Linked DNA regions of Astyanax mexicanus. The protein of the gene in region 1 purifies or fractionates together with the protein of each later gene. This does not show direct contact. Links are inferred from orthologs where the notes say so. Each region holds a gene or a part of one and is shown on either strand. Other genes may lie near its edges. The genes, in order: mphosph6, exosc2, exosc5 and exosc4.

Region 1 (7,966 bases):
CTCCTCCTCTTTGGGAGCATTCATTAGAACCATCAGCTTCTGCAGAGCATTTGATATCAAACAATAATTAAAACATTTAATAAAAGTGTAAAATTCATATGTAAAATATAAGTGGGGGGAAATGTACACACAGTTTACCTCAACTTCAGGATTGAAACCCCTAAATGACATTCTTCCATAAACCAAGTCTTCACATGGCACATAACTCCTTTCTTCAACAATGCAGCTTCTGAATAAGTAGAAAATACAGGTAAAGTTAGAGGAGAAGGCTTGTTGTCAAAGTTACTTCTAATCGACCAGCAGGAGGTGGGGGTTGGGGAGGGAAGGAATAGTGCTTTTTTTTTCTTCCCTAAACATTCATATCTGGAACCCAAAATAAATTGCACCCTTGTGCAGTAGTATCTAATTGTGATTTAATTAAAATAGTCTCCACTGACACCAGCAAAAGCAGGCACACAAAACTTAGCTTGCTAGATAAATGTGTGACTAGAATAGCAAAGCTAAAGTAAATTAATGATTAAAATAGCACTACTGTCGTAAACGTATTATACTTTGTTGATGTGTCAGCTAGGGGACAAAAATGTTAGCTGTAAAATAGAAAATATTTTAAAGTATATTTTTGTTATTATTTTTTTTGTCTTTAAAAAGCAACATATACATTTAGGCTGTGATCTATATAGTAGAGAAAAAAATCAGTTTATTCCCTTTTTAATTTTAGACAAACTTTTTTTTGTGCATCCCTAAAGCATGTGTTTAGGTCTGGCAGTGCTTTTGACATTGAAATGTTAAATTTGTACAGGTTATGTTATCAAAATGACCTACTCTTCCAAGTTTAGATGATAAACTGATTAATTTCAGATAATCTATTAAATGATTAACAGTAAAGAATACCAGTATAGATTATCAGTGGTGATGGACCTTATGGGCTTCAGTCTATGTTCTGAAATGTATATGCTGCTCCTCGCTTTTGATTGTGCAGAGCATTTACATGGTTCAGGTGTGGCAGAGGAGGGCCATGAGTTGGTTTATTCATAGGAACTTTAAATATAATTATCCCTATCTCAAAAATAAAACATCAACTGCATAAGTAAGGCATGTATGGAAAAGTCAAAAGGAAAGCTTACTCTTTGGCTTTAAGCTCAGGCAGGTCCAGATACCAGTGCTCATCACTAATAATTCTCTTCTCATCTTCCTCCAACTGTTTCCTTGCCTCAGCATCAAGGCCTCTTTGCATAAACTGTGGGGACATAAAGCAAAATTATTTAAGAGATACAAAAAATAATCTGTAATTCTGCTGTTTACACCTATAGGCTTGCAAAGTGGACAGAGAGGTTGACTGCATCAACAGTTAATGTATTAATCTGAATGTTAACAAAATTGAATTTTAAAGGAAACACGTGTTAGCTAACTAATATTATTTTAATATTAATACCACACCAGCCACAAACATTTTCTTTTATGGGCAGAAGTGAGGTATTAAGTACTATAGGGCTGGGAGATTAATCAGATTAACTGAATTAGCGTTTGAATACGATTTTTCAAAATGGGATCATCAAGATTGTACACCTTTATATGAAGACATTTCAGTAGACAGACATTTGCTTCTGTCAGAAACTTGTAACTCTTATACTGCAGTCATTTTAATGTTTCAGACTTTTCTGTAACTGGAATACAAGCATGTTATGTTTGTACAGTGTTTAACATACAACTCTGGAAAAACAAATTAAGAGACCACCTAAAAAGGATAAATTTCTTAGATTTTACCGAATTACAAACCTCTGAAATATAATCAAGAGGAAGATGGGTGATCACAAGCCATCAAACCAAGCTGAACTGCTTGAATGTTTGCACCAGGAGTGCCATAAAGTTATCCAAAAGCGGTGTGTAAGACTGGTGGAGGAGAACATGCCAAGATGCATTTGGTTATTCCACCAAATATTGATTTCTGAACTATTAAAACTTTATGAATATGAAATTGTTTTCTTTGTATTATTTGAGGTCTGAAAGCTCTGCATTTTTTGTTATTTCAGCCATTTCTCATTTTCTGCTAAGAAGGTTTTCCATAGTTTATAGAATAAAACAACAAAGTTCATTTTACTCATTTATACCTATAAATAGCAAAATCAGAGAAATTCATTTAAAAACGGAAAAAGCTGTAAACCTACATGTTATGTTGAAGGAGGATGTTTAATATTAAACAAAAATAATAATACAAACGAAACTGAAATTAAATGTAAGTTCAAGGACACAATGGATTATGCAACACTTTAAATAGTGCTGTCTGCTTAAAATGAAAAATAACTAAAAATCATAACCGAGAATACCTTATAAATTTGAAAAATATAGATTTTTCCAGACCTAAAGTACTATATAGCTACGTTAATGTCACTTGTCCGTGCCATCCCATGGGCTTAACTAAAATAGTTTTCCCTTACGAGGAAAAGCATGGCAAAAGTAAGCCCAAGCCAAGAATGTATCTGCACAACTGTGGAGGAATATAATTTAGCTTAGCTTTTGTGTTTTATTACTTTTCTTTATGACTTTATTTTAATCATTTGCTTTATTTGAATATTTAGCACGATTGTGTTTGGGATAAAATGGAAATAGCACTGCTAGTTAAATGATAAGCGAAGTTTTGAACGACAAGAAATGCTGTTTCTTTTGTTTAGGGAGTTGTTATACATATTGAAAGTCTCATTAAAGGACATTAAATGGGAATAAGTGAGTTTTGGTGGTTAAACCAGGGCTTCTTCTGGTCAGTGAGGATCCACAGCTAACAGCACTCACCTTCATCCGCAGCAGGTTTTTAGATAACTTCGCTGAACCGTCGTTTGCCATTGTAATATTCTTGATTATGTTGTTGTTGTTGTTTAGCTCGGCTTCACTGCAAGGTCAGGTTTTATCAGTCAGTGTAAAAATCTTCAGGCTCTGATCTGTTTACTCCGCTAAGCTAACCGCTCTCATCTCAACACGCTGGATATAAATATGTGCGCATGCTCAGGACTGCAAAGAGACACGGTTAATCGCACGGTCGAGCCTGAAGCGACTAATCATGTCTGATCTCGAGTTCGTGAGCTACAGCACGTTTTTGGTTCACCCAAAGCCAAATACTATTCAATTAATAACTATTTTTGTTGAAGCAATGGCAGGAACACTTACTCTCCTTTCGTATTTCCCTGTTAAGTAAAACAAAAAAATATTAAGCAAAAAATAATAAAATAAAAAGTAAAATAAATACATAAATAAAAACAGAAATTAAGATGTAAATAAATTTTCAAGGCTGCATATCATGAAATATGAAATACTGGTCCATGCTCCATTGTAAATATCCTCATAATCAGTCATGTACACTATTTTATTTTTATTTTTTCTTGAAAATGTGAAAAAAGACTCAAGAACAACTTGCCTGTTTCAAATAGTCTACGCTGGTTTTAGAGAAGCTGGTTTTCAAGGTGAAAATTGAATAAAAAACAAGTCAAAAGTATTATTTTCTACATTATAGATTTATTTTGAAGACTTCAAAGATTAAAGAAACACATACCCCATCAAGAAAATTGTTAAACATGACAAAATATATTTTATACTTAATCAAAGCAGCACCTTTTGATTTTTTGGGTGTGTTGGGCCAAACACTTTTTTGTCTACTACCTAACTACATATGGCTTCCCTCATATTTTTATCATAGTTTTTATGCTTTAATATGAATCTACAATGTAGTAAATAATACAAATAAACAACAAATATTAATACGAATGTGTATCCACACTTTTGAATGGTACTCTATGTATGTATGTATGTATGTATGTATGTATGTATGTCTGTGTGTTACCCAGCTCTTGACCAGTGTATGCCGCCTTTGATTTTGTTCTTGCTGGTCACACAAGTCTAAGCTGTTCACACTTGGTTATACTGATGTTCTAGCTTTTTTAAGTTGATCATGCTTTGAAGACTAGCTGTTTATTAAGCCAAAAACATACTGTTTGATGGTCAACCGTCTTGGACTGGCCGTCAGACAGTATGGAAAATTCCCAAATCTTTCCATCTTTTTGATACCTGAAATGTACATGTACATAATTGAGCATGGCGCTACCAATTAAACTTTAACTTAACTTAAAGTAAAAAAAAAAAAATCTGTTTTTTATCAATAGCAAGTGATTTTATGATTATATCCAAGTTTAGTCTATAACCTTGTTGACTCTGACCTTGTATTTATATAAATAACAATATATAACAAAGTATAAAAGTCATAAGCACACTATAAAAATAAAATAAATCTTTGATCAGAAAATAAGAGACTATGAGTGATAAATAACTGCTATATGCAGAAACATCAAAAAATCTATTTGTGTGGTATGAGCAGTTGATTTGAGCAATGATCCCTTGTTGCTTTGAATAATTAATAACTAATTAATAATGATAAAAACCTTTTAATCTTTTCTGGCTCCCCCAAACTTCATATTCTGTAGATTTTGTATCTCAAGAAAAACACAAAAATATACAAAGTGAAAGTCAGTATCAATAGCATTTTTTTCCATTATAAATCTTTGGAATCATGTAAACTCTTGCACCACAAGCTCTTTTAGTGACACTAGTGATATTTGTTCACGTGGTGAGTTTTGAACTTTAATAAGTTCTGCTTGTAGCTGGGCCACGGGTTGCTCCATCTTATACCCAAGATCCACCATGGCTTCCAGCAGAGGGGCTCGATACTTGCTTAGGCCGTAGCGTCTCACTGCTGGCAGTGCCCTGTGGCCAGTCTTAAAAGCAGCATGAAAATCCTGCAGGTCCCTCTGGCATACCACCAGTGCACACAGGGTAGGCACCAGCAGAGTGGCATCATGGGTGGACAGCTTTTCTTGGAGCACTAAAGCGCTCTGTAGGATCTCAAGGGCTTGGGAGAAGCGACCTCCCCGGAGCAGATCATGGGCAGCCTTCAGCTCAGAGTGGGTGAAGAATGCTATGAAAGCAGGTGAGCGGCGGATATAGCGCAGGGAGTAGAGCTGGGTCAGGTAATCACACAGGGCCACACGTCTCTCAGCAATGTTCTCCTCTGAGAAGTTTCCCACCAGTTTCTTCCTGGGAAGGGAGATGTCTTCTAGTTCCTCGCTGAAGTCCTGAAGCAGCTGATGGTGGAGATGGAGGAAGTCTGAGTAGCGACGTTCAATGGCCACCCGCTCACCGTCATAACTGCCTGATCTGATCACCACTATTTTGTACACCTGTGATAAACAGTATAGATTAAGTAAGTCCAAAACATTTGAGTCACTATTTCTTATTAATTATCTAAACTTGATCGTGACACTATCAGAACTATTCATTTTTCCGAGCTGGCAACAAAAAGCACAGTTGTAGAGCGGTAGGTAATTATTAATTATTAAGGTATTATTAATTATTAAGTAGGTAATTATTGATGCTTTTCCCCAACAGTGTTCATACACAATATTGCCTAAAGTATTTGCTCACTCATTAAAAATAATTAAACTCCCGTTCCAATCACTTCCATGGCCACAGGTGTATAAAACCAAGTACATAGGCATGCAGACTGCTTCTACAAACATTAGTGAAAGAATGGGTTGCTGTCAGGAGATCAGTGAATTCCAGCGTTATATCGTGATAGGATTTCCAGTCGTGAAATTTCCTCGCTACTTAATATTCCTCAGTAAACTGTCAGTCTTATAATAGCAAAAAGAAAGAGACTGGGAATAAAAACGGCTCGCTCTGTTAATGTAAAATGACAGAGCGGAGTCAGCAGATGCTAACGTGCTTAGGGTGCAGAGGTCACTAACTTTCAATCACTACAGATCTCCAAAATTCATGTGGCCTTTAGATTAGCTCAAGAACAGTAGAGTGCAGAGAGCTTCCTATTATGGGTTTCCATGACAGAGCAGCTCCATTCAAGCCTTACATCACTAATAAGGCAGGTGAGTAGATACTTTTGACAATATAGTGTATTAACTTGACAAAATTGTGCAGGCTACAGATATGTACTATATAGCCAAAGAAATGCTGCCATTATTATTTTTAAAAAGAATTGTTTTAAAGACAAGAAACTCTTTCATAAACAATTATTAATTAAAATTAATTTTTAGAAGGGAGTAATTACATTATTACATCATATTATCAGGGGCATAAAATGATAATATAATTATCGTCCAAAGAAAATTGTAATTGTGACAGGCCAACTTTACAGGGGTTTATTAATTTACAATTTGCTGCACTTCATCGAAGTAAACAAGACTTTACACTAAACAAGAATTACACTAATTGCATTTATGATATTAAAACATGCCTTTGTTTAATGTTTGACATAACCTATGATATTTCAAGAAAAATATACTTTATATCACAATACCCAAATTGATCAAGATACAATAAAATATTGTTTTATTTCCCACCCCTAATATAAAATGTGTCCTTAATAATAAAATAAGAAAAAATCATCATAGTCTCTTTCACTTACCACATATCTAGAGGTGGCTTGCTCGATGGTGCGTGTAGAGGGGATCTCAAACAGCAGTTTAATACATCTGATCTCCTGTTTCACGGCCCTCCAGTGCTGCTGAAGCTCCGCTGTGGTCAGACAGGAGGCACTGAAGCCTGGAGATGCCTCCAGACCTATGACAAAACAGAAATTTGAATGAATGAAGTCCAAAATTTAACTCACAATTACATACTATAGAAAACAACACTAACCAGTATCAACTGATGTTTCTTGATGATGCTCAGACTCTTTAGGATGAGTGGTGCTGGTTCCTCTTTCATCACCAGTCCTCAGGTCTAGTAGACGGGCCTCTGAAGAATCCATGCTCAATTCACCAGACAGTGACTTGAGTGACCGGAGCTGCACTCTGCACAGAAGATGAAGAAAACATGATTAAAATGGATCTATGTCTGTGGGGTGACAGACTGCACTTCCTTGTCAGGAAGCTAAAATTGGCTGTGTTGGAGGAAGTGGCCTGAGAGCAGGACGCAGAAGCAGGCAGAAGACGACACAAATGGAAACCCACCATTTGTAACCGCACAGAGGGAGTTCAATAGTTCCACAACAACAAAAATAGGTGGCATTTTAGATAAAAAATTCTCATTACCTGTGTGTAGAAATGTTGGCTCATGCCCATGGTGACTGCTTCCCTCATTCTGTAGGCCCCAAGAGTCCCCTGCTGCAGTTACTACATCTACATAAAATGACTCATATAAACCCACATTTCACAAAATTACAATTGTTATACTATATGTATATAATGTCTACTAGACAAGTCCTTGTGTAAAGCTTAAATGTCTCCTTGGCAAATGCTGAAATTAGGCATGAAACCTAACTGAAAGGAGGAACTGAAACCTAAAAGAGGGAGTGTCTGTGCTCTTCTCAGCTTTCACAAATCACTCCATATATCACACACTGGTTTGCATACAAAAAAACTCCACAGTGTCAAAATTAGGACAAAAACATAAGTAAAATGAGAGATTTGTGGTACTACATTGATTTATTTATTATCTCTGTTTTAAACTCAGATTATCACTGCTGTCCACTAGATGGGGATGTTTACAGTAATTTTCCTCACAAGCGAAGTTCAGATAAGCATCTGTCTAGAAAGGCCTTCACTGTAAACACATGCAGACACGTGTGTGCGGTTCTTCACATTAGTAGTAGAAGCAGATTGGGCTGTTGACAGATGAATATTGCTCAATCCATTATCGTTATACAGTCTTTTATTAAGCGTTTTAAAGACAAGAAAATATCTCCTAAACAAATATTCATTAATATTATGCTCTTAAAAATGAAATTACATACCAGTGGCATCATTTATCATATTTTTTTTTCTGAGACTATTTATCACCCCCCAAAAAATATATTGTGACAGGCCTACTTTACAGTGATTTACTAATCTAAAATTAGCCTGCTGCTCATTCCCTAATGTTAACCCCTGAGATGGCCAGTACGCAACAGTGAGCGATCGGTGCTGCAGCA
Region 2 (7,267 bases), on another chromosome or scaffold:
TATCCCACATGAAGTTTAAACAGTCATATGCTAAGGTTTATCACCTCTGGGCAAATTCTTCCCAATTTACAAAGAAAATCATATATATATATATATATATATATATATATATATATATATATATATATATATATATATATATATATATATAAGAAAAGATAATACTTTATTACTCAGACACCAGGGAAATGACAAACTTCTGCAAATGATCACATGCTGTAATTATTCCACGAGGTTTAAACAGTCATATGCCAAAGTTTTATCACGTCTGGGCAAAATAGGGTACATTTAGTAGATTTCATGCAAAAAAATCTTATTTATTAAAATCTGCAACTTTACAGGAGAGGGTAAATCCTTATTAACCTACAAACAAAATCATATATAAAAAGATGTTGTCTAATTTAAAGTTTTTTATTAATCAGCCACCAGGGAAATCATCACATGCTGTAATTATTCCACGTGAAGTTTAAACAGTCATATGCTAAAATTTTATCCCCTCTGGGCAAAGTACTGTACATGGAAAATAATGGATTTTATGCCAAAAAAATCTCAGCTCAAAAAACTAAATAAAAAACTTCAACTCTACAGTAGAAGGAACATTCTTCTTATCATACAATGAAAATCATGTATTAAACACCTTTGTTCCTAATAAAAAAAGTAATTTAATAATATAAGATAAGCCTTTATTAATCACACAGTGGTAATATTTGCAATGTTACAGAAGTGCAGAAAACAATTAATACTGAAGACATCAGAACTTTAAAGGAACACCTTTTAAACTTTGAAACGATTTAGTGTCGGAATTTCACATATGAAGGAATGTTAAATAAAGGTGGTTTTAATGCAACCAAAAATGTATGTTTATTTAATGTTCCTTGTATCAGGGCTGGTTTACAAGTGGAGGCCACATCTATGTTCAATACATACCAGGTGCTGGTCAACGAATTAGAATAATTTGAAATAGTGAAATCATGACATTTTTTGAATGCATTTTTTGTGCAGAAAGCAAATCAGGTGTTCACCGCACCTGTCCTACTCGTTAGACTAATCACAGAACTCGTTACCTGGAAAAAAATTTGCTCAGCTGAGCTTTCCAAAAGGCCCATTTAGGCCATTTAACTGTGACACTGTTGTTTTATTGAATTAGAATAATGGACAAACCGTTTCATTGAATTAGAATAAATGCTCGAATTTTTGTTTTCTGTGAAGAGTGTTCACTGTGCAGTATAAAGTCAGGGTTGAGTAGAATTTCTAAGTTGTAAAATCAATCATGGGTAAGCAGCGTGACCTCTCAACCGGAATAGTGGCTCAAATTCAAGCCCTTCGCCAACAAGGCTTGACCCAAACTAAAATTGCTGAGCAGCTCGGCATCAGCCAGTCTTCCGTCTGCAAAGCTCTCAAGAAAAACTGCAGCAAGCGCACCAACTGTTCCGGCGTCCGAAAAACTTCTGCTCGCGACAACAAGCAGCTGAGAAAGATCGCAGTCAGCAACCGGTTCAAGTCCACTCCCGAGCTCACCGACTTGTGGAACAAGCAGACCGGCGCTGACGTCTCCAGATCAACCACTTACCGTCGTCTGCGCGAACTCGGCTTCAAATCTCGCGTTCCAGCAGTAAAACTGATGCTGAACAAGAAACAAATGGAGAAACGGCTGAAGTGGGCCAAAGAACACGGCGAGTGGACTGCTGAAGACTGGCAGAAAGTGGTCTTCAGTGACGAATCACGCTTCTGCATCTCCTTCGGTGACCAAGGTCCTCGTGTCTGGCGTCGTGGTGGCGAAACCTACAACCACGAGTGCGTGAAAAGATCCGTCAAGTTTCCCCAGAGCGTTATGGTCTGGGGATGCATGTCCGCTCGAGGTGTAGGGAAACTCTGCTTCCTCAAGAAGACTGTCAATGCTGCCGTATATCAAGATGTTCTGGAAACGTTCCTGATTCCGACTGTTGAGGAACAGTTCGGCGAAGAAGACTTCATATTTCAACAGGATCTTGCACCGGCTCATGCGGCAAAGTCGACCAAAGATTGGTTCACTAAAAAACAGCTTGAAGTTTTGGCATGGCCGGCCAACTCGCCTGACCTCAATGTCATTGAAAACCTTTGGGCCATTGTCAAGCGGAAAATTCGCGACAGAAAGCCTACTACGCTGGACCAACTGAAGCAGAACATCGCCACTGCCTGGGAAGCTGTGAGTGCGGAAACTTGCGACAAGCTGGTCAAATCGATGCCGCGGAGACTTCAGGCAGTCATACAAGCCAAGGGGGCAGCCACAAAATACTGAGAAAGTGATGATTGTAATTATAATAAAAATTATTCTAATTCAATGAAACGGTTTGTCCATTATTCTAATTCAATAAAACAACAGTGCCACAGTTAAATGGCCTAAATGGGCCTTTTGGAAAGCTCAGCTGAGCAAATTTTTTTCCAGGTAACGAGTTCTGTGATTAGTCTATCGAGTAGGACAGGTGCGGTGAACACCTGATTTGCTTTCTGCACAAAAAATGCATTCAAAAAATTTCATGATTGCACTATTTCAAATTATTCTAATTCGTTGACCAGCACCTGTATATGGTGAATATGGTGCTGTTTTTACCTTTATTTATCTTTTATTATTTTATTATTATACAATCTATATTTTGTTGTAAAAAGGTTTTAAATAATTGTAATGCTTGTAAATGCTTTTAGGAATATAATAATCTTATCTGTATTACTTTTTAAAGCAATAGTTTGTCAGTGCATTAGCTGCTGTGCTGTGACATATGTTGATGTAAAAAGGGCTATGAAATTAATTTATTTGAAAACAGACTCAGTTTGCCAGACAGGGGTTAAGCCTAGTGTTTGATTATAGAACGTTTTAAATTTAAATGTTCTGCTAAATGCTTACTGACTCAGTTTAACACATGTTGGGGGAAACACAGCTCTACAGCCCCCTCTAGCGCCACACAGAAAAATCACGTTTTAAGACAGGACAGTGTATTTGGATAGTGAATGTGTCCTTTGTGTACATTATAATGTAAAGGGTAAAGGACACTTGCTTCTCATTATATGTGTCTACACTATATATATATATATATATATATATATATATATATATATATATATATATATATATATATATATATATATATATATATATATATATAAATAAAAACATTAAATGAGAACGAGTGACCAAATATATGAATGGTACTGTAGTATAAGTTGCATACAGTTGTACAGGTATGTGTGCTCTGTTTATTTCAATAGGGTTTATATAAGCTGAAGTGTTTTTCTTTCTTGTTATGGGTTTGTGTTTAAACCCAAAAACATTTTTTTTGACTTTTAATGATTGTTTAGAAATAATTTTTAATTTTGAGATCTGTAGCTAGAATTGTACACTGCACTCTGTGGGGGCACCAAAGCCTAAAGTGCCTTCCACTGTTACACCCACCTCCCCAAGCACAGATTCTATTATTCACGTGGGCTGAATGTTAATATATAAGTGCTTGGCCTTAATTTGGCCTCTTTTAAATAGTCTTAGACATTGATTTGAGATATTTTTTTGTAATTTTGCAGGCTGCCAATTGTTTTTACACAGTATGCCCTTTCAGAAAATCTGTAGATTACATTTTACTATTAGGGTACTTATAGTGCACTTTTAGTGCATTATTAGTGTACAGTACAAGTCAAAAGTTTGGACACACCTTCACATTCGATGTTTTTCTTTATTTAATGTATTATCTACATTGTAGATTAATATTAAAGACATGAAAACAATTAAAGGGCACGTATGGAATTATGTAGTTAATAAAAAAATTGTTTGTCCTCCACAATCCCCTCATCTAAACGTGATTAACTGAGATGGTGATTTTGGATGAGCTGCCTGGAGCTTTAGCAAATATTGTTCAGCGTCGTTAGGAACTCTTTTAACACGCTGAGAAAACAATTTCAAGTGACTCTACGTCATGAAGATACTGAGATTAAAATATTAAGAGTGTGCAGATCTGTCCTCAAAGCATTTTCTGGTTTGTTTAACACTTTTTGGTTTCCAGAATAATTCTGCATGTGTTCCTGTATAGCTTTAAATTGTCTTCAATATTACAATTTTACAAAAAAAAAAAGGTGTGTCCACATGTTAGACTGGTCATGTATTTTGTGCTAAAATGCTGTTGGTTTTGGTATTAGTCCTCGTAGCTTGTGCTTGTTCTATGGTTTCTGGCGGAGTCCCTCTTTATACCAGCAGTGGCCACACGTGGCAGGAGTCTCCCAGTCTGTAGATGTTGGTGTTTCAGAGAAGAAGAGCTCAGCCATTTTAGAAAACACAGCTCTGTGGGACAGCATGGCTGTGGATATGAGATTACCCACTGCCCGAAAACTCATCTCCCTGCCCGGCTCTCTGTCTAACGCTGAGGGTAAACACCTGGTGGTCCCGGGAGATGTGATCACATCTGATACAGGGTTTATGAGGTAAATATGCGCTTAAACAAACCTGCAGGAGGACCACAGGTCTGATCTGACTAGCCTGCTATCCCTACATTAACTAACCTAACCAGGCTAAATTAACTAATATCTGTGTTTTTGCTTCGGTGTCACTGTCTGTTCACCAGCTAAGAGTTAAGATAAGTAACGTGTGTGGCCTGTACCAGTAGCTCGACTGAGAAACACAAACATTTATTTTGTGTATGGGTTCAGTGTTGGCCCCACATATGGATGTTAGTTAGTGATGGGACCAGGCAGGAGGGGATTGGTCAGTGTAAGTTAACGTTTAGCAGTTTAATTTTCTGACCGTATCAAGCTAAATTCAAAAATACAAAATTGAGTATAAAACCTTTTTTTCCATTTAGCATAGTGAAGAAGAAATGTGTTTTGGTCAGTGTTACGTTTATTAGTTAAATTTTCTGACCGTTATAGGCTAAATGCAAAAAAATAGAAAATTGCAAGTAAGAACTCATTAATTCTTTTTTTTAAGTGTAGTGTACAAGAAATAAGTTTTCATACATTTTTCCAATGTTAGTTTTTTAATCTTTGCCCCTTACAATTATAATTTCAGGAAAAAAAAATCTTTTATTTTTAATTTTTTGCATTTTGCAAGTTGGATTATAACATCAGATTTGTGTTACATGATACAAAAATGGACAAATCTGAAAATCGAGAGAAGATTTAACTTTTTATTTTCTTGAAATTCTGTTTGCGAAAGGCTGAAATAAAAAAAAACTCAATAATTGAAAAATGGGATGCAAATCTATTTCTTTTCAGCAAATTAAATTGCTAAACGTTACACTGACCTATTTTTATCTTTTTTTTTCAATTATCTTGTTTTTGTTTTGGCTTTTTCACAACTGTACATTTTATTACAGAGAGTGTTAATAATGTAAAAATAAAAAAAATGTTAAAATCCTGTTTATTAGATGATGTGCCGCAAAAGCAAAAAAAAATCTATTCAATTGAATTATGTGCAACAAAAATTACTGTATTATGCATGAAAGATTATCTGAACAGCAGAATCTTTCTCTGCTGATGCATTTTGTCTGCCTGTTAAAATATGATTATTACTGTTTTTTGTAATACAATATTTTTATTTTTTATTTAAACAGTGTCAGTATATCACCATGCTTACTTTATTGCAATATATTAATGATATTCAGTGATATTGAATCATAACCCCTAGATCAGGCCTGGGCTTTTTAAGGCTGGGGTAGTGGGCCTTTTCATACAAAGCCCTTCACTTATTACGCATCAGTACTGCTTGGGTGGTAAAAACAATAAGAACAACAATAACCCATTTTTTAACCCCCGGTCCACTTTTTAACGCATGTGAATGCATACTTTTTTACGTAAATGTTATGTACTTAATTTCTCACTTCCTGTCTTCAGGGGTCATGGAACCTACATGGATGATGAGAAGCTCACAGCCTCAGTGGCTGGGGAGGTTGAACGTGTCAACAAGCTGATCTGTGTGAAGCCACTGAAGACACGGTCAGTGGTCTTCTGAATGCTGTGTCTAAAACATTACAATTAACATGTATAAGATTTAATATTCTTTGGGTGTTTTTTACAGGTTCAATGGTGAAGTTGGTGATGTGGTGGTTGGCAGGATAACAGAGGTACTATGTTTATGTTTAGAGTTCTCAAAATTCTTACATTCTTTCATACATTTTTAGAAGCACTGTAATTTTAAAATTAGTCATAAGCCTCATCCCTCACAGAAATAAGCAACATTCTTCTCAATCATCTTTACCTATTCTTTCACTGTAGGTTCAGCAGAAACGTTGGAAAGTGGAGACCAACTCTCGGTTGGACTCTGTATTGCTTCTGTCCTCAGTAAATCTTCCAGGAGGAGAGTTGGTGAGCTTAAATACTGATTTAATAATGTTTTTATATAAAAATATTGCATTGTTGTTTGAGTTGCGTTGAGCTGTAATAAATACTGTAAACCCTATTTATTCACAGAGGAGGCGATCAGCAGAAGATGAGCTCACCATGAGAGATTATCTTCAAGAAGGGGACCTCATCAGTGTATCCTGAAAGTAGTGATTGTTTTAAAATAGTGAAATTATGTAATTAAATAAGACTGTGTTATTTTTGATTATGTAGAAAATTTAACTTAACTTGTTCAAGGCAGAGGTACAGTCCGTCTTTTCAGATGGAGCTCTTTCGCTTCACACCCGCAGCTTGAAGTATGGCAAGGTACGAACAACAATTCTTCAGTATGATTTTATGAAACTCAACTGAGAAATATTGATTGAAAAAAATATTGATTTTATAATTTATTGTTTGCTCAAGTCAGTGTAATTGTAGGTACTGTTGAGAGCTTACTTTCATTTTGATAAAAGAAAAATGGACATTAATGCAAAGTTAAAATTTACAGCTCAGGTGCCCATTTATGAATGTAGCTTTAGCTTTTAGAAGAAGTTAATTGACAGGTATATGTTTACCTATTTAAAAAGAAGGTTTAAAATGCATCTTAATATTTGCGACAGTGATATTTCAGTTTACTTGGCCTGATTTGTGTTTTTCCATTCTTAGTTGGGACAGGGTGTACTGGTGCAAGTATCACCATCTCTTGTGAAGAGACAGAAAACCCATTTCCACAATCTGCCCTGTGGAGCTTCCATAATCCTGGGGAACAATGGCTTCCTTTGGCTGTACCCTACACCAGGGCATCAAGATGAAGAGGCAGGAGGATACTACACAAGCCTGGAGGTCAGGAGAACATGATTTTATTAATGGTTGAAAACATAATTTTTTTTCAGCATGTTTTATACTGTGTTTAGAAGTCCATCTGTGTTCA
Region 3 (7,229 bases), on another chromosome or scaffold:
ACCGCGGAGCTTTTTAACTGTACTGCGGAGCTTTTTAACTGTACCGCGGAGCTTTTTTAAACTGAGCTGAGCTTTTTAACTGAGCTTTTTAACTGTACTGCGGAGCTTTTTAACTGTACCGCGGAGCTTTTTTAAACTGAGCTGAGCTTTTTAACTGAGCTTTTTAACTGTACCGCGGAGCTTTTAAACTACTGTTTTTTTCCCCCTGCGAGACAGGTTTAAGCTTGACGAGATCTCGTCACACCCCTAGAAAAAACATGGAAAACTGGTGAACCTTCCCAGGAGTGACCGGCCGACCGAACAAAATTACTCCAAAAGGGCATGAACAACTCATCCATGAGATCCCAAAAGAACCCAGAACAACATTTATCAATTAACATCATGATGCTCTTTAGGAAAAATTGTTTTTTCCTTTTTAAAATTATGGGTAAATATTATATTTTGACTGAAGAGACAAAAGTGGAACTTTTTGGAAGGTGTGTGTCCCGTTACATCTGGCATAAAACTATAATAAACACATAATTTCAGCAATAAAAGAACATTGCTCTCACTGAACGTAAAATGTAAAACATGGTGGTGGTAGTGTGTGCGTTATGATGGTCTGGAGCTGCCGGACTTTAACTTGCTGTAATAGATGGAAGCAGGAGTTCTGCTGTTTTTACCAGAAAATCCTGAAGGAGAATCAGAATCCGTCCATCTGTTCCTTACTGACCTCAAGCTCAGGAGTACTTGGGTTCTGCAGCAGGACAATGACCCAAAGCACACAAACAAAAAGTTCACCTCTGAATGGATTAAAAATAAATAAAAACTAAATGAAGGTTTAGGAGGGTCTAGTTAAAGTCTGATTGAGATGCTGTGGATGATCTTAAACAGTTTTAGACGTTTATGCTGGAAAATCCTCCAATGTGTCTGAATTAAAACTGTAATTCTGTAAAGAAGAGTGGAACTAAATTCCTCCAGAGATGAGAAAGACTCGTTACTAGTTATAAACAGGTGTGGATTTATAAAGGATACAGAGCCGTCGTCGTGCACCACCTGGAGGATGAGTGCGAGGGAGGACCGAGGATGAAGAGTGGACAGCAGGACAGCCTCACACGTTTCCCTCACACACTGCTCCCTCGCACGCTCCCGCACACCTACAGAACCGGGTTACAGAACCGGATTAGTGAACGTTCATCACACGCACAGATTTTCACTATTACATGACTACCACCCTGTGGTGAGAGGGGGTAACGCAACCAACAACAGGCTTTTAATCTAGAGGAATATTAAAGCATGATTAGTGTTATAAATAAATTAATATGTTCACTGTATTGTAATGAGAATTACATTAATTAAATAGGGCTCTAACAATAAATATTACTTTAACCTACTAGTAGACTCATGCTGCATTATTGTGCTCAGTTTTTCAGACATCAGGTATGTTTTGCACTTAGTTATACAATAAAATTCCAAAACAGGAGTGTGCACAATATATTAATGTGAACTAAAATGACAAAAACTGTTTATTAAATTTTTTACGTTTTACAGTTTTCTGTTTTACTTAATTTTATTGAAGCATTTTGAGCTGCGTTTTTTTTTGATGATATACAAGCAAAGTTTATTATATTATATATTATATTATAACTATTCCATTTTTTAATGCTTAATGATGACGGCTCTGCGCATTGACTAAATATTATATAATGCACAGAACATTTTAGAAGGTCCATTTTACATCAAATAAATAACTAGTTGTGAGTACAATTATGTTGTGCATTTTGGCAATATAGTGTATTATTAATTAATAAATTATTTTTTTATTTAGTATCTCTGAACACAGAGCTACTTACTTGACATGCCCACTTTAGGCTGGACAACCACCTCCAGAGTCGCTCTGTCATAGATCTCCTTATTCACTTTCACTTCAGCAGGTCCATAAACTCCTGCCAACACACTGGTGTCCCCTGTAAACACATATACCATTACAGAAACACACACACACACACACACACAAACACAAGATCAATACAGAACCCAGAAAAATCCTCCAGAAACCTGCAGAGTAGAGCCCCTTATAGAGTTCTGTAATGTCCAATAGAAACCTTCTAAATCCCTATGGATGCCCTGTAGAGTTCTGTAGTGCCCTATAGAAACCAAATAGAGCTTTGTAGTGCCCTATAGAAACCCTGTAGATTCATATGGAACCCCTGTAGAGCTCTGTGGTTGTCTATAAAAACCATATAGAGCTTTGTAGAGCCGTATTTAACCAATATAGAACTCTGCAGTGCCATATAGACCCAAGTTCTGTAGAGACGTTCAAAACACTGTAGAGTCCTGTGGAGGCCTATAGAAACCCTATAGAGCTCTGTAGTGCCCTACAGAAACCCTCTCTTTTATTAACTGTTATTTTAAGATTATTAAATGTAGTTATTATTTAATTTATCATCATGTTAATCCCTGTATTTGTGAATGCTACATTGAAAATGAGGGTTGCCCTTAATGTACTTCTGAGTGAAAATAACGGTTGATTGCCTAAATGACTAATTGATATATTGTCATGTGGACCCTATAGAACTCGTAGAGCTCGGCAGTGCCCTATAGAAATCGTGCAGAACACTGTAGAGTCATGTGCAGGCCTATAGAACACTAGAGTCCTTTGGAGCACTATATAACCCTATATAGCCATATAGAAACTCTGTAGATACCTACAGAACAGGGTAGAGTTCTGTGGAGCCCTATATAGTCAATATAGAGTCTTGTAAACAAGTGCACAACCCAGAGGAACCCATTTAGAACCCCATAGAACCCAATAGAACAGAGACAGTATATAGATAAATACCCTGTAGGAAGGTCGCTGATCCGTCCGGTTTGGACAGCAGGTTCTGTTCGCTCCCGTATTCCCTCAGAACCGAACCCGAACCCGTCTCTATCTGATCCATCACTGCCGAACCCTGCACCCCGCGATACTGCAGCACGCCGGCCCGTCGCCCGCTCACAGCGTCACTGTTTACCGCGCACTCTGATGACGCTTTAATAAGATAAAAGTCCTTAATCTACCGGTAAAAACAGTAAATCAGTTTACACTAGTTAAGCTAAAATATTCTGTATTTTATTAGGCATTTTATTTACAACGAATTTTCGTTTAAATAAGAAAGAGGATTGATTTGATTTGCAATAGTGTTTTGTAATTGAATTATTTTCTTAAAAATACTATAATACTCTAATATAGTATTTTTCCAAGGAACAAATATATAAATGTAAGTTAAATAAAACAGAAGGCGGTCATTTATTCATTATTTAACCATGCTATTTATATTTTATTAATAAAGTAATTTAAAATAATTCTTAATTTAATTAAAGGACACCGTTTTTTTTACAATCTTATGTACATGCTTCCTCTGTTATACATTTTTCTTGTATTTGGTTTTCCCATGTTTCCTAATTTATTTTATTATATGCTGATGTCATTTTTTTATTTGCAGCTTTAACCTTTATTATAAATAAATAAATAATAATAATAATAATAATAATAATAATAATAGTTTAATAATAAAAGTTTTAATAGAAACTGTTTAGTTATTTATACACCGTCACATATAACTTTTTACATGCTTCCGCTATTACACATTTTTCTTGCATTTTGTTGTTGTTTTTTAATTATAATAATTAATAATAATAATAATAACAATAATAATAATAACAATTATTATGATTATGATTATGATTATTATTATGATTATGATGATGATGATTATTATTATTATTATTATTATTATTATTATTATTATTATTAATAAATGAAACATTAGTTACATTATTATCATAAACAATATTGTTTTCTCATTTTAATTATTAATTAGCAATTTTATCTTTTTTTAATTTAGCTACATAATTTACTATATATATATTCTTTTTTGTTGTTTTTTAAGTGTGTTATTTCTTAGGGAATTAATGAATTTATAAGAGATGTGAAGAAATATTGAAAGTGAAATATTAGTTGTATTAAAATGCTGATTTTGTAATTGTGTGTATATATAATCAGTAATTTCTCAGTTATATTCATAGTGTATATACAGTGCGGTGTCTCCGCCGCTGCAGCAGGAGGCGCTGTGAGCGCGGTGCGGGAGGACAGTAAGGCTGAAACATGGCGGCGGTGCGGAGGCTGCAGAAATGGGTCGGACTCGGTTTTCACGCGTTTCGCCAAAATTCAGCATTAAACTCGGTCAGAGCCCTGCAGCGGAGAGCCTTCCGCACCCAGGTAACCTCACCTGCTCACCCGCACAGCGCGCGCTGCTCACCTGTACAGGTGTTCCTGTGGGTCTGATCTGAGCTGCAGCTTAAACAGTAGCATGTAATGCCCACCTGCAGATATATATTTAATATATAACCCTCAGCTAGAGCTTTATACTGTAATAAAGATATATAGCAGCACGTGAGGGGTTATTATCAGATGCAATATTATTATACAGGTGAATCTGATACAGGTAAACCAGCTGCTCACCTGGACTAAAAAAACAACACTGGCTTATATTGTTTAAAACACACATATAATACAAGCATATAAGCTACAGTATAGATAGATAAATACAGCTGTCCACAGACTCTGTAACGCTGTGGTTCTATATAACTTTATTTTAATATTTAATATATATGTTTTAATGTAACTTATATATTTAATAGTGTGTATGGTTGTGTGAAGCGTTAATAAACCGCATATTCAGCTGTTGTTAATAAGTTTAGTTATTAATAACTGGTTTATGCTGCTGATTTTGAGGTTAATATGAAGTTATTATATTATATTATATATTTTTTTACTGAAACCGGTCTATTTGTTTTGGCTGCGAGAACCTAGCCACCGCGCATGCGCATAACCTTCACGGCGCTGCGCCGTTTCCTTCGCTCTGATTGGTCCGCTCCGGGGGTGTGGAATATAACACGCTTCAAGGCGGGATATATATGTATATATATATGTATATATATATATACATATATATATATATATATATATATATATATGTATATATATATATATATATATATATATATATGTATATATATATACATATATATATATATATATATATATATATATATTATTTGATTTTTTTTTCTGTCTAACTTCTATATTATTATTTTTAAATTGTTAGTTATTATTTTGAGAGTAAGTATTTTTTGGTATACTATATATATATGGTATACAGGTGCTGGTCAACGAATTAGAATAATTTGAAATAGTGCAATCATGAAATTCTTTGAATGCATTTTTTGTGCAGAAAGCAAATCAGGTGTTCACCGCACCTGTCCTACTCGTTAGACTAATCACAGAACTCGTTACCTGGAAAAAAAATTGCTCAGCTGAGCTTTCCAAAAGGCCCATTTAGGCCATTTAACTGTGACACTGTTGTTTTATTGAATTAGAATAATGGAGAAACCGTTTCATTGAATTAGAATAAATGCTCGAATTTTTGTTTTCTGTGAAGAGTGTTCACTGTGCAGTATAAAGTCAGGGTTGAGTAGAATTTCTAAGTTGTAAAATCAATCATGGGTAAGCAGCGCGACCTCTCAACCGGAATAGTGGCTCAAATTCAAGCCCTTCGCCAACAAGGCTTGACCCAAACTAAAATTGCTGAGCAGCTCGGCATCAGCCAGTCTTCCGTCTGCAAAGCTCTCAAGAAAAACTGCAGCAAGCGCACCAACTGTTCCGGCGTCCGAAAAACTTCTGCTCTCGACAACAAGCAGCTGAGAAAGATCGCAGTCAGCAACCGGTTCAAGTCCACTTCCGAGCTCACCGACTTGTGGAACAAGCAGACCGGCGCTGACGTCTCCAGATCAACCACTTACCGTCGTCTGCGCGAACTCGGCTTCAAATCTCGCGTTCCAGCAGTAAAACCGATGCTGAACAAGAAACAAATGGAGAAACAGCTGAAGTGGGCCAAAGAACACGGCGAGTGGACTGCTGAAGACTGGCAGAAAGTGGTCTTCAGTGACGAATCACGCTTCTGCATCTCCTTCGGTGACCAAGGTCCTCGTGTCTGGCGTCGTGGTGGCAAAACCTACAACCACGAGTGCGTGAAAAGATCCGTCAAGTTTCCCCAGAGCGTTATGGTCTGGGGATGCATGTCCGCTCGAGGTGTAGGGAAACTCTGCTTCCTCAAGAAGACTGTCAATGCTGCCGTATATCAAGATGTTCTGGAAACGTTCCTGATTCCGACTGTTGAGGAACAGTTCGGCGAAGAAGACTTCATATTTCAACAGGATCTTGCACCGGCTCATGCGGCAAAGTCGACCAAAGATTGGTTCACTAAAAAACAGCTTGAAGTTTTGGCATGGCCGGCCAACTCGCCTGACCTCAATGTCATTGAAAACCTTTGGGCCATCGTCAAGCGGAAAATTCGCGACAGAAAGCCTACTACGCTGGACCAACTGAAGCAGAACATCGCCACTGCCTGGGAAGCTGTGAGTGCGGAAACTTGCGACAAGCTGGTCAAATCGATGCCGCGGAGACTTCAGGCAGTCATACAAGCCAAGGGGGCAGCCACAAAATACTGAGAAAGTGATGATTGTAATTATAATAAAAATTATTCTAATTCAATGAAACGGTTTCTCCATTATTCTAATTCAATAAAACAACAGTGTCACAGTTAAATGGCCTAAATGGGCCTTTTGGAAAGCTCAGCTGAGCAAATTTTTTTCCAGGTAACGAGTTCTGTGATTAGTCTAGCGAGTAGGACAGGTGCAGTGAACACCTGATTTGCTTTCTGCACAAAAAATGCATTCAAAGAATTTCATGATTGCACTATTTCAAATTATTCTAATTCGTTGACCAGCACCTGTATATAGTAATATAGTAAGTCATTTTGAGACAGTAAGTCATTATTTTGAGATAAATCATTATTTTGAAATAAATAATTATTTTGGGATAGTAAGTAAGGCATAGTAAATAATTATTTTGAGATATAGTAAGTCATTATTTTAGGATATTAAGTCGTTATTTTGAGATAATGTCTCGTTATTTTGAGATAGTAGGTAATTATTTTGAGATAGTACGTCATTTTGAGAGTTATTTTTAGATACTTTCTCATTATTTTAAGAAAGTACGTCGTTATTTTGAGATAGCAAGTTATTTTTAAACAGTAGGTTTATATTTTAACATAGTAAATTTGTTATTTTGAGATACTATCTCTTTGTCTTAAGATAGTAGGTAATTTATTTGAGATAGTAAGTCATTATTATGAGATAGTAAGTTG
Region 4 (7,712 bases), on another chromosome or scaffold:
CCAAAACTATAGAGCTGTGGGTGGCAGTGGGAGGTGGAAAAGTTATGTAGGCCTGTCATGATAACACACAAATCAAACATATATTATATAATTATGACTACCTTCTTGGTTTTTTACAGCTCCCATGATCATATAGGACACTTTATACACCTCTTTTTAACCTGTTCTTCAATACGCAGGACCCTACAGTAGAGAAAAACACCACAGATCAGCTATTACTATTATTAATTGTGTATTGTGCATTGATTTTTCTCAGCACTGCAGTGATTAGCACTGATTAGCATGGTGAAGGTGGTGTATGAGGTGTTAGTAGTGTGTGTTGTGCTGATGGTACAGTGAGTGGATCAGGTACAGCAGCAGTGCTGCTTGAGTTTTTAAACATTCTGTTCACACACTTGCCTACAGCTGCTCCACCTTCTAGATAAAGTAAAGTCAGAGACAGAAGCTCTGAAGCTGTTGCTACACAGTTTACAGTGTTGGTTTTTATCTAGTGGTTCATCAGTGTTCACAAGAAGATGACTGCATTGAGATGTTTAAAAACTCCAGCAGCACTGCTGCATCTGATTTACTCACTGTACCAACACAACACGCACTACTAATGCCTCATACACTACCACCACCATGCTAATCAGCGCTAATCACTGCAGTGCTGAGAATAATAATGACCCACCACCCAAATAATAATAATAATAATACTAATAATAATAGCTGCTCTGTGGTGGTTTTCTTTTGTGTGGGTTCTGAGTATTAAATAACAGAAATACAGTCTGTAATTATTATAGAACTACAAAGTGTCCTGTTTGATTAGTGGAGCTGATAAGATGGATAATAGGTGTAGAAACAAGTTGTGGTCATAATGGTATGCTTAATTGTTCTATATTGTTGAAAGTAATTGAGCTAAACTATATTGTTGGAATTTTCAGACTACCATATGCCACTGATATATGGATATTATATCATAACATTGCAATAGAACTATTTATTAATAATTCTTAATAGATTTGGAGATCTTCCAGATTTTAAGTTAAAAGTTAAAGCTGGCTCAATTTCTGTTTGTGTTCATTCTTCAACAAACACAGCAAACACACAAGTAAAGGTAATGGACCATATTACAGTATGCAATATGTTTTGAGGTAATTTCCATGTAATAATACATTGATAAGTCAGTAATTGTGATTATCGTGGCAGGTCTACTTCCATGTTTGCCTTAGAAAGCCAAACACTACTGAGCCAACATAATTAGAGATACCCTGTTATATTGGAGTCATATAAGTATTGTACTAATTCGTTTTACTTTAAAAGAAGGAGACTGTTTAAGTTAATGCACAGAAAGACTGTTTACACCTGGTCATTTCATAGAATTTAAATATTAGAATTATATCTGGACACAAGCAAACTATAAACAGATACAAATCGTATAACTCAAACCACTTCAGAAACACTTCCAACACTTCTATCTCAGAAAATTAGAATATTATACAAGACCAGTTGATCTTATTGGGCAGTGTGCCAAGTCCTGCTGGAAAATAAAATCTGCACCTCCATAAAAGCATCAGCAGAGGGGAAACCATGCAGTGCTGTAAGATTTGGATTTCGTTTTCCAGCAGGACTTTGCACACTGCCAAAAGTACCAGTTGGTCTTATATAATATTCCAATTTTCTGAGATACTGAATTTTGGGTTTTCTTTGGCTGTAAGACATTCTCATCAACAAAACAAGAAATAAATGATTAAAATAGATCACTCTGTGTGTAATACGTCTATATAATATATGAGTTTCACATTTCAAACTTAGTTATTTAAAATAATGTAATAAATGCACTTGTAGGTGTTGGATACTCGCCACATGATGTGACCAGGTGTAAACAGGGTTTAAGATGAATACATGATATCTAAATATCTGATTGGATTACTACAGCATTACTAGGAATATATTTATTTAAAGTTTTAAATTAATAATTTTACTGACTTTTTTTGTGCAATACCATAAAAGAACCACTTTTGCTTCCTGATGAATCAAAGAACCATTTTTGGTGGATAAAAACAGATCTCAGAATGGTTCTTTATACTAGCATTTTAATGGTATTACACAAAAAAAACAATGTTTAATCACTTTTAAAGATCTGATTATTTGGAGAAAAAAAATGCTAAACAAGTTTAAAACCTACAAATCACTGTCCAAAAAACAAAATCTTATATACTATTTTTTTTGCATTGTTTGGAACCGGCAGCTTTTTCTTGTATACCTTTACATTGTGTGAACCCTCCATGATAAACGGACCAATAGAATTGCGCCAAATGGGTTAGAATGAAATGCTGTTACACTGACTTTCATTAAAAGCTAAGAAATGTTTTGGCATCTCTTTATAATAAGTGTTACACATTACACATGTAGTTACACATTAACAGTTATGGAATATCATACTATGTAACCACACACTCTGTACCACAAAACGGTACAGAATTATTATATTTGTACCGGTTATGTAACTGGATGTGTGTTTATAGTCATTTTTTTACAATTTGTGTTTTAATAGGGCAAGTGAAATTACATGTCATAATTTGTGTAAATTATCACATGTGATAATGTGTTTGGAATATGTGAATATATTTATATTTCTCCAGGTATTGTCTGGTAATTAGTAATTTAATTACTATTTATGTGTAACTCGTTTTACATTTATGGCCTTTAGCGGATTCTTTTATCCGGAGTGAAGTTGGAGGTGGACCAATGTAGTGTTAGGAGTCTTGCCCAAGGACTTATTGGTGTAGCACAGCATAGTCACCCAGACCTGGAATTGAACCCCAGTCTCCTACATGGTAGCTCAGTGGCAGGTGGTGGTGTTATCCACTGCACCACATCAAATACACCAGTTTTCCAACATTTCCAATATCATTAATTAGATTAATTTAAGGACAGTAGGACAAAATATTAATCTATGTCTAACTGGCACTGATATACATGTAATTACATAACCTGTACAACTGCAATTAATCTTTTATCATTATTATTACATGGTTGTTAATGTGTAACCACACAGGTATTAGAGACACTTATTACAAAGTAGGACTAAAGTTTTTCCTTCTTCTGTTAAGTCGATGTTTTGGAGATGTGCTTTGTTTCTTGGATAGTGATTATTGATTTACACTGACATGCCAAGTGTAATGGAATGGTAAATAATATTCCCATGACTTTTGACCTGTCCAAAACTACTCCGAACTGTGGGATATGTGTGTGGGGTCTTCTGAATCGAATGTGAATGTGATTTCTGCTGGAGTCAATTTAAGTCTGTTTGAATGGACATTTTTTTTTATTTATTAATTTGTGGGCATTTTCAAAGCATTATTTTACATAATGCTATCCCCTGACTTTTGGCATGTCAGTGTAAAACCTGTGGTTTTGTGTTTTTTTAGAGTTCGTCCAAAACCTAAACTCTAAAACTGTTCAATTTAATTGCCCCCCACCACTGCACCCCAGTGTGCCCCTGATTCTGCTGCTGAACCTCAGTCCTCATTTCTTTCTGCTGACAGAATGTAGAGCTGCAGCTCGTAGGGATTCGTATGGTTTGCGAAGCCTGATTTTCTGAGGTACATTCTCACAGACACACTTAACGTTCTGAAGAAAGGATTATAAAAACCTGACTGGGGCCTCAGTCGGCCTCGGCTCCTCTGTATCACATAATTCAGTTCTTCTTGTTCTGCTCATAATGCGTACATGCATTTGTTTCTTATCTCTGTTTTTATTTATACACATTAGAGATGCTAATAAATTTTATTTTTAAAATTGCATGGTATGTTTTATTCTGACGTCTCTATGTTCTAATAACAGTAATGTGCACTTTGGGTGGATAATGCAGTTTGAGCCAAGGATAAAAAAAAAAAAAAAAAAATGTTTTCATTGTGATTTACTGTTGACTTCCCAGCATGACTAAAGACAAAACTTTATTAATTTATTTCTCAGAATAATAATTATTCATATTAAAATTTTCTGAAAATATCTTTTCCAAGAATCAAGAGGAAGATGGATGATCACAAGCCATCAAACCAAACTGAACTGCTTGAATTTTTGCACCAGGAGTAAAGCAGCATAAAGTTATCCAAAAGCAGTGTGTAAGACTAGTGGAGGAGAACATGCCAAGATGCATGAAAACTGTGAATAAAAACCAGGGTTATTCCACCAAATATTGATTTTGGTGTGACGGAAGACAAGCAGAATGAGGAGTTCTGAAGTTACAGGGTTTTTATTTTTAGCTCAGATTCAGCCAAATGCAACAAAACTGACTGGAATGACCCAAAACATACTGTGCAAGCAACCCAGATGTTTTTTTTTTTTTTTTTTTTTTTAAGGAAAATATTTATGAGCAAGGTTGCATACATATACAATTTCTTGTTTGTTTGTTTTTCTCTTGATTGTTTCATATTTATATTTTTTTTATGTAGAATGTATGCAGCTTAAATTAAACATAAATTGTGATATTTATATTATATATCTATCTTTTATAAATTGGAGAACATTGACAGTGCAGCCTACTTGCCATTTATATATAGTTTGGTAAAATAATGTGCTAAAAACTGTACACATTTGTTAAAATTTTGATTTACGTTAAATATGTACTTTTACTTTTTATATATATGTACATATATATGGTAAGGGGGAGCTCGGCCGGCAGGGGGCGTTCGGTGTGCGGTCAGTAGTCGGTGTTTTGGGCTGTGCGGGGACCCGTAGTGCGGGAACACGTGTTGTGTGTGCGGGAGTGATCATGGCGGGTCTGGAGCTGCTGTCGGATCAGGGGTACCGGCTGGACGGGCGCAGGGCGGCGGAGCTGCGGAAGCTGCAGGCCCGGATGGGGGTGTTCGCTCAGGCGGACGGGTCGGCCTACCTGGAGCAGGGAAACACCAAGGCGCTGGCGGTGGTGTACGGCCCGCACGAGGTGAGGAGTGCCCGGGGCAGGGGTAACTACAGCCCGGGGGGGTAACTTACAGCAGGGGAAAGGGGGTATAGAGTAAATAGAACAGTACTGTACTAAACTTTATATTATAATAACTAAAGATGGAATTGCAGTTATAGTGCTTTAATTGTAATGTGCTGGAGTCCCAACACTTCTGTCCATATAGATATAGTGCACCTACACCAACCAAGCATAACATTATGAGATTATGACCACCTTTTTGTTTCTGCACAAAAAACTGTCCATTTTTGCAGCTCCACTGTTTATACAATATATAGCATTTTGTAGTTCTATAATTACAGACTGTAGTTCTGTACCTGTTTCATTGTATACTTTATTATTGTCCTCTAATACTCAGGACCCCTCATGTCACCTTTAGAAGGCGGTCTAATATTTGTATAGACACATGTTATAGGGATGCATCAACATGGGAATTCTGATTACACATTTATAGCTTTATACCTAAGAGGGACTAGACAGTAGGGCTGCAACTGATGATTATTTTGGTAGTCGACTAATCTGATGATTATTTTTTCGATTAGTCAACGATTATTTCTGCCACATTCTCTGTCTTATTTTATAACTATATATTATATTTAATTATAGAAACAGCTGAGTATGAGATCTAAAAGATATATAAACATTCAAATGTTGTTTAAATGTGGAAAGTACTAATTTTTAGTAGATTAGTCCACAATGAAATTTGTAGTCGACAAATATAAATAATCGACATTGTCGATTATATCAACTAATCGTTGCAGCTCTACTAGACACCCCCAGTGTAACTAGAAATAAATGTAACATTTATTTACTTTACATTTTAATTTTTAACCAAGTTTTTCTACCAAAACTTTTCACATATTTTGGCTTTACATTTTATGGTTTCACATTTATTTAGCTAACTGGTCTTTACATAGACTGGTCACAGCTTTGAACTGTCTTTTCTTTTTTTAAATAAATATACCTGTTGAAACTAATTAAAATAATAATAATAATAAAGAATTAGCTTAAATCAATTAATTTTAATGTAGCTTGACCAGTTTTGACCCATTGTAGTAGTGCAGCCAGGTTCACTTGGTAATGTAAAATAATTTATTTCAGGTATTTTACGAGACTTTCTATTAATTCATTCTTCAAGGATTTTTGATGCAGTGTAGAAGACAGTGTGTGTGCTAAAATTATAAATTAAACTAAAAATCAACAAAAAATGGAAGCTAAATGACACTGCACTGAACTGTGAGATGTGTGTGTAGGGTCTCCTACATGTAACATGTATTGATCAGTGTGTACTTACAGGTCAGAGGGTCCCGCAGCAGGACCCTGCACGACCGCGCCGTCATCAACTGCCAGTACAGCATGGCCACGTTCAGCACTGCGGAGAGGAAGCGCCGGCCGCACGGCGACCGCAAGTCCAGTGAGATGAGTCTCCATCTGAAACAGACCTTCGAGGCTGCTGTCCTCACCCAGCTCTACCCACGCTCCCAGATCGACATCTACGTTAAAGTACGGTACATTTCCTGCTTCAGCTTCTACTACCCAACATGGCTAAATAAATACAACACACCCACTGCACATCTAAAAGAGTCGAGGGAAGGGAACCGGGAAAGCAGTACATTTGCAGGACAGTGGGGCACCTGGATCACGATTAAAGGAACCTTGGTTGAGCTGGTCAAATCGCGTGACTAACGTCATTGGTGTTCATTCCTGGTTCAGGAGATATATCATATTGTGTTATTTGCTCCTCATTTATGAGGCAGTAATTTATCTGCACCATTCAGTTAAACATGAGTCAACATGAGAGAGGCCTTCGGTTTCTTAGGAGTTATCTTGGGGTCCTTTGTGACCTCTTGGAGTGGTCTTTGTTGGTAGACTATTTTTTGGGGAGAGTAACAATGGTTTTGAACTTCCTTCATTTGTACACTATAATCTGTTTTACTGTGGATTGCTGCAGTCCAGCCTCTTTAGATGTGGTTTTGTAACTTTTCTAGACTAATGAGCATCTACAGCTCTTTTTCTGAGGTCTTTAGGAATCTCCTTTGTTCGTACCACTATACACTTCCACAAACATGTAATGTGAAGAGCTGACTATATCCTCCTGAGGCCTGGACATAAGCCTGACATTTTTTACTTTCTCCTAGGTATTTGGGATTACTAGGACCTAAAAAGTATAAATACTAAACTTTGTCCTTGTACAGGAAGTCATTTTTGCTAAATTTTAACATTTAAAAAAGACCCTTTCAATTTGGGATCAGAAGGACAAGATTAGTGCAACAGCTAAATGTTAGCTTTCTACAAAAATAGAATAAACTAATTTCAAACATAAAAGTGGAGGATAATTTTTACCTGGCCCATGTTTCTGTCTGGAATGGCTGTAAAAACCTTTGACTGGGCTTCCCGCCGATTGGTTTTCAACCAATTTAGTGTAATGTTGTCATGTTGAGTCCACTTTATGGTACGGGCAGTGTCTCCATATGAGGCCAAAGGGTCAATGTTTTAAAAAAGCTTGGTGCAGAGAAGCAGAACTGTAATGTCCACATATGAGGACACTGGGTCTCAAGAGGTTAATAGATCCCAGTTCTGTACATAGAACAGGCTCTGCCCACTCTCACCTGATTTCACCTTTAAAGTAACTGCTTATCCTAGAGGTTCACATACTTTTGCCACTCACAAATATGTAATATTGGTCCTTAATAATAAATGACAAAATATAATTTACTTTTAGGACTTGAAACTGTGAAAATGATCTCATGTTTCAGATCAAGAT

Evidence for each region.
Region 2: the proteins of mphosph6 (region 1) and exosc2 purify together in Homo sapiens (affinity purification with mass spectrometry; 8 studies listed by BioGRID and IntAct, with this or other methods). This does not show direct contact. The link is inferred for Astyanax mexicanus from reciprocal best matches to the Homo sapiens genes MPHOSPH6 and EXOSC2.
Region 3: the proteins of mphosph6 (region 1) and exosc5 purify together in Homo sapiens (affinity purification with mass spectrometry; 6 studies listed by BioGRID and IntAct, with this or other methods). This does not show direct contact. The link is inferred for Astyanax mexicanus from reciprocal best matches to the Homo sapiens genes MPHOSPH6 and EXOSC5.
Region 4: the proteins of mphosph6 (region 1) and exosc4 purify together in Homo sapiens (affinity purification with mass spectrometry; 7 studies listed by BioGRID and IntAct, with this or other methods). This does not show direct contact. The link is inferred for Astyanax mexicanus from reciprocal best matches to the Homo sapiens genes MPHOSPH6 and EXOSC4.

Annotation. Positions count from the first base shown.
Region 1 is NC_064409.1:59,103,891-59,111,856, reverse strand, and holds the start of mphosph6 (M-phase phosphoprotein 6), read right to left. Parts: upstream 3,001-7,966; 5' UTR 2,839-3,000; coding exon 2,788-2,838; intron 1,238-2,787; coding exon 1,125-1,237; intron 230-1,124; coding exon 139-229; intron 40-138; coding exon 1-39. Other genes in the region: snx20 (sorting nexin-20), read right to left, coding at 4,551-5,219, 6,461-6,615, 6,694-6,805. UniProt on the Homo sapiens protein: RNA-binding protein that associates with the RNA exosome complex. Involved in the 3'-processing of the 7S pre-RNA to the mature 5.8S rRNA and play a role in recruiting the RNA exosome complex to pre-rRNA; this function may include C1D.
Region 2 is NC_064408.1:20,987,629-20,994,895, reverse strand, and holds the start of exosc2 (exosome complex component RRP4), read left to right. Parts: upstream 1-4,249; 5' UTR 4,250-4,315; coding exon 4,316-4,443; intron 4,444-5,850; coding exon 5,851-5,952; intron 5,953-6,034; coding exon 6,035-6,080; intron 6,081-6,231; coding exon 6,232-6,321; intron 6,322-6,426; coding exon 6,427-6,492; intron 6,493-6,594; coding exon 6,595-6,663; intron 6,664-7,002; coding exon 7,003-7,179; intron 7,180-7,267. UniProt on the Homo sapiens protein: Non-catalytic component of the RNA exosome complex which has 3'->5' exoribonuclease activity and participates in a multitude of cellular RNA processing and degradation events.
Region 3 is NC_064416.1:2,328,510-2,335,738, forward strand, and holds the start of exosc5 (exosome complex component RRP46), read right to left. Parts: upstream 3,002-7,229; 5' UTR 2,922-3,001; coding exon 2,822-2,921; intron 1,947-2,821; coding exon 1,833-1,946; intron 1,137-1,832; coding exon 1,015-1,136; intron 24-1,014; exon of another isoform or gene 1-23. Other genes in the region: bckdha (2-oxoisovalerate dehydrogenase subunit alpha, mitochondrial), read left to right, coding at 4,127-4,240. UniProt on the Homo sapiens protein: Non-catalytic component of the RNA exosome complex which has 3'->5' exoribonuclease activity and participates in a multitude of cellular RNA processing and degradation events.
Region 4 is NC_064415.1:9,898,925-9,906,636, reverse strand, and holds the start of exosc4 (exosome complex component RRP41), read left to right. Parts: upstream 1-4,699; 5' UTR 4,700-4,759; coding exon 4,760-4,930; intron 4,931-6,244; coding exon 6,245-6,451; intron 6,452-7,712. UniProt on the Homo sapiens protein: Non-catalytic component of the RNA exosome complex which has 3'->5' exoribonuclease activity and participates in a multitude of cellular RNA processing and degradation events.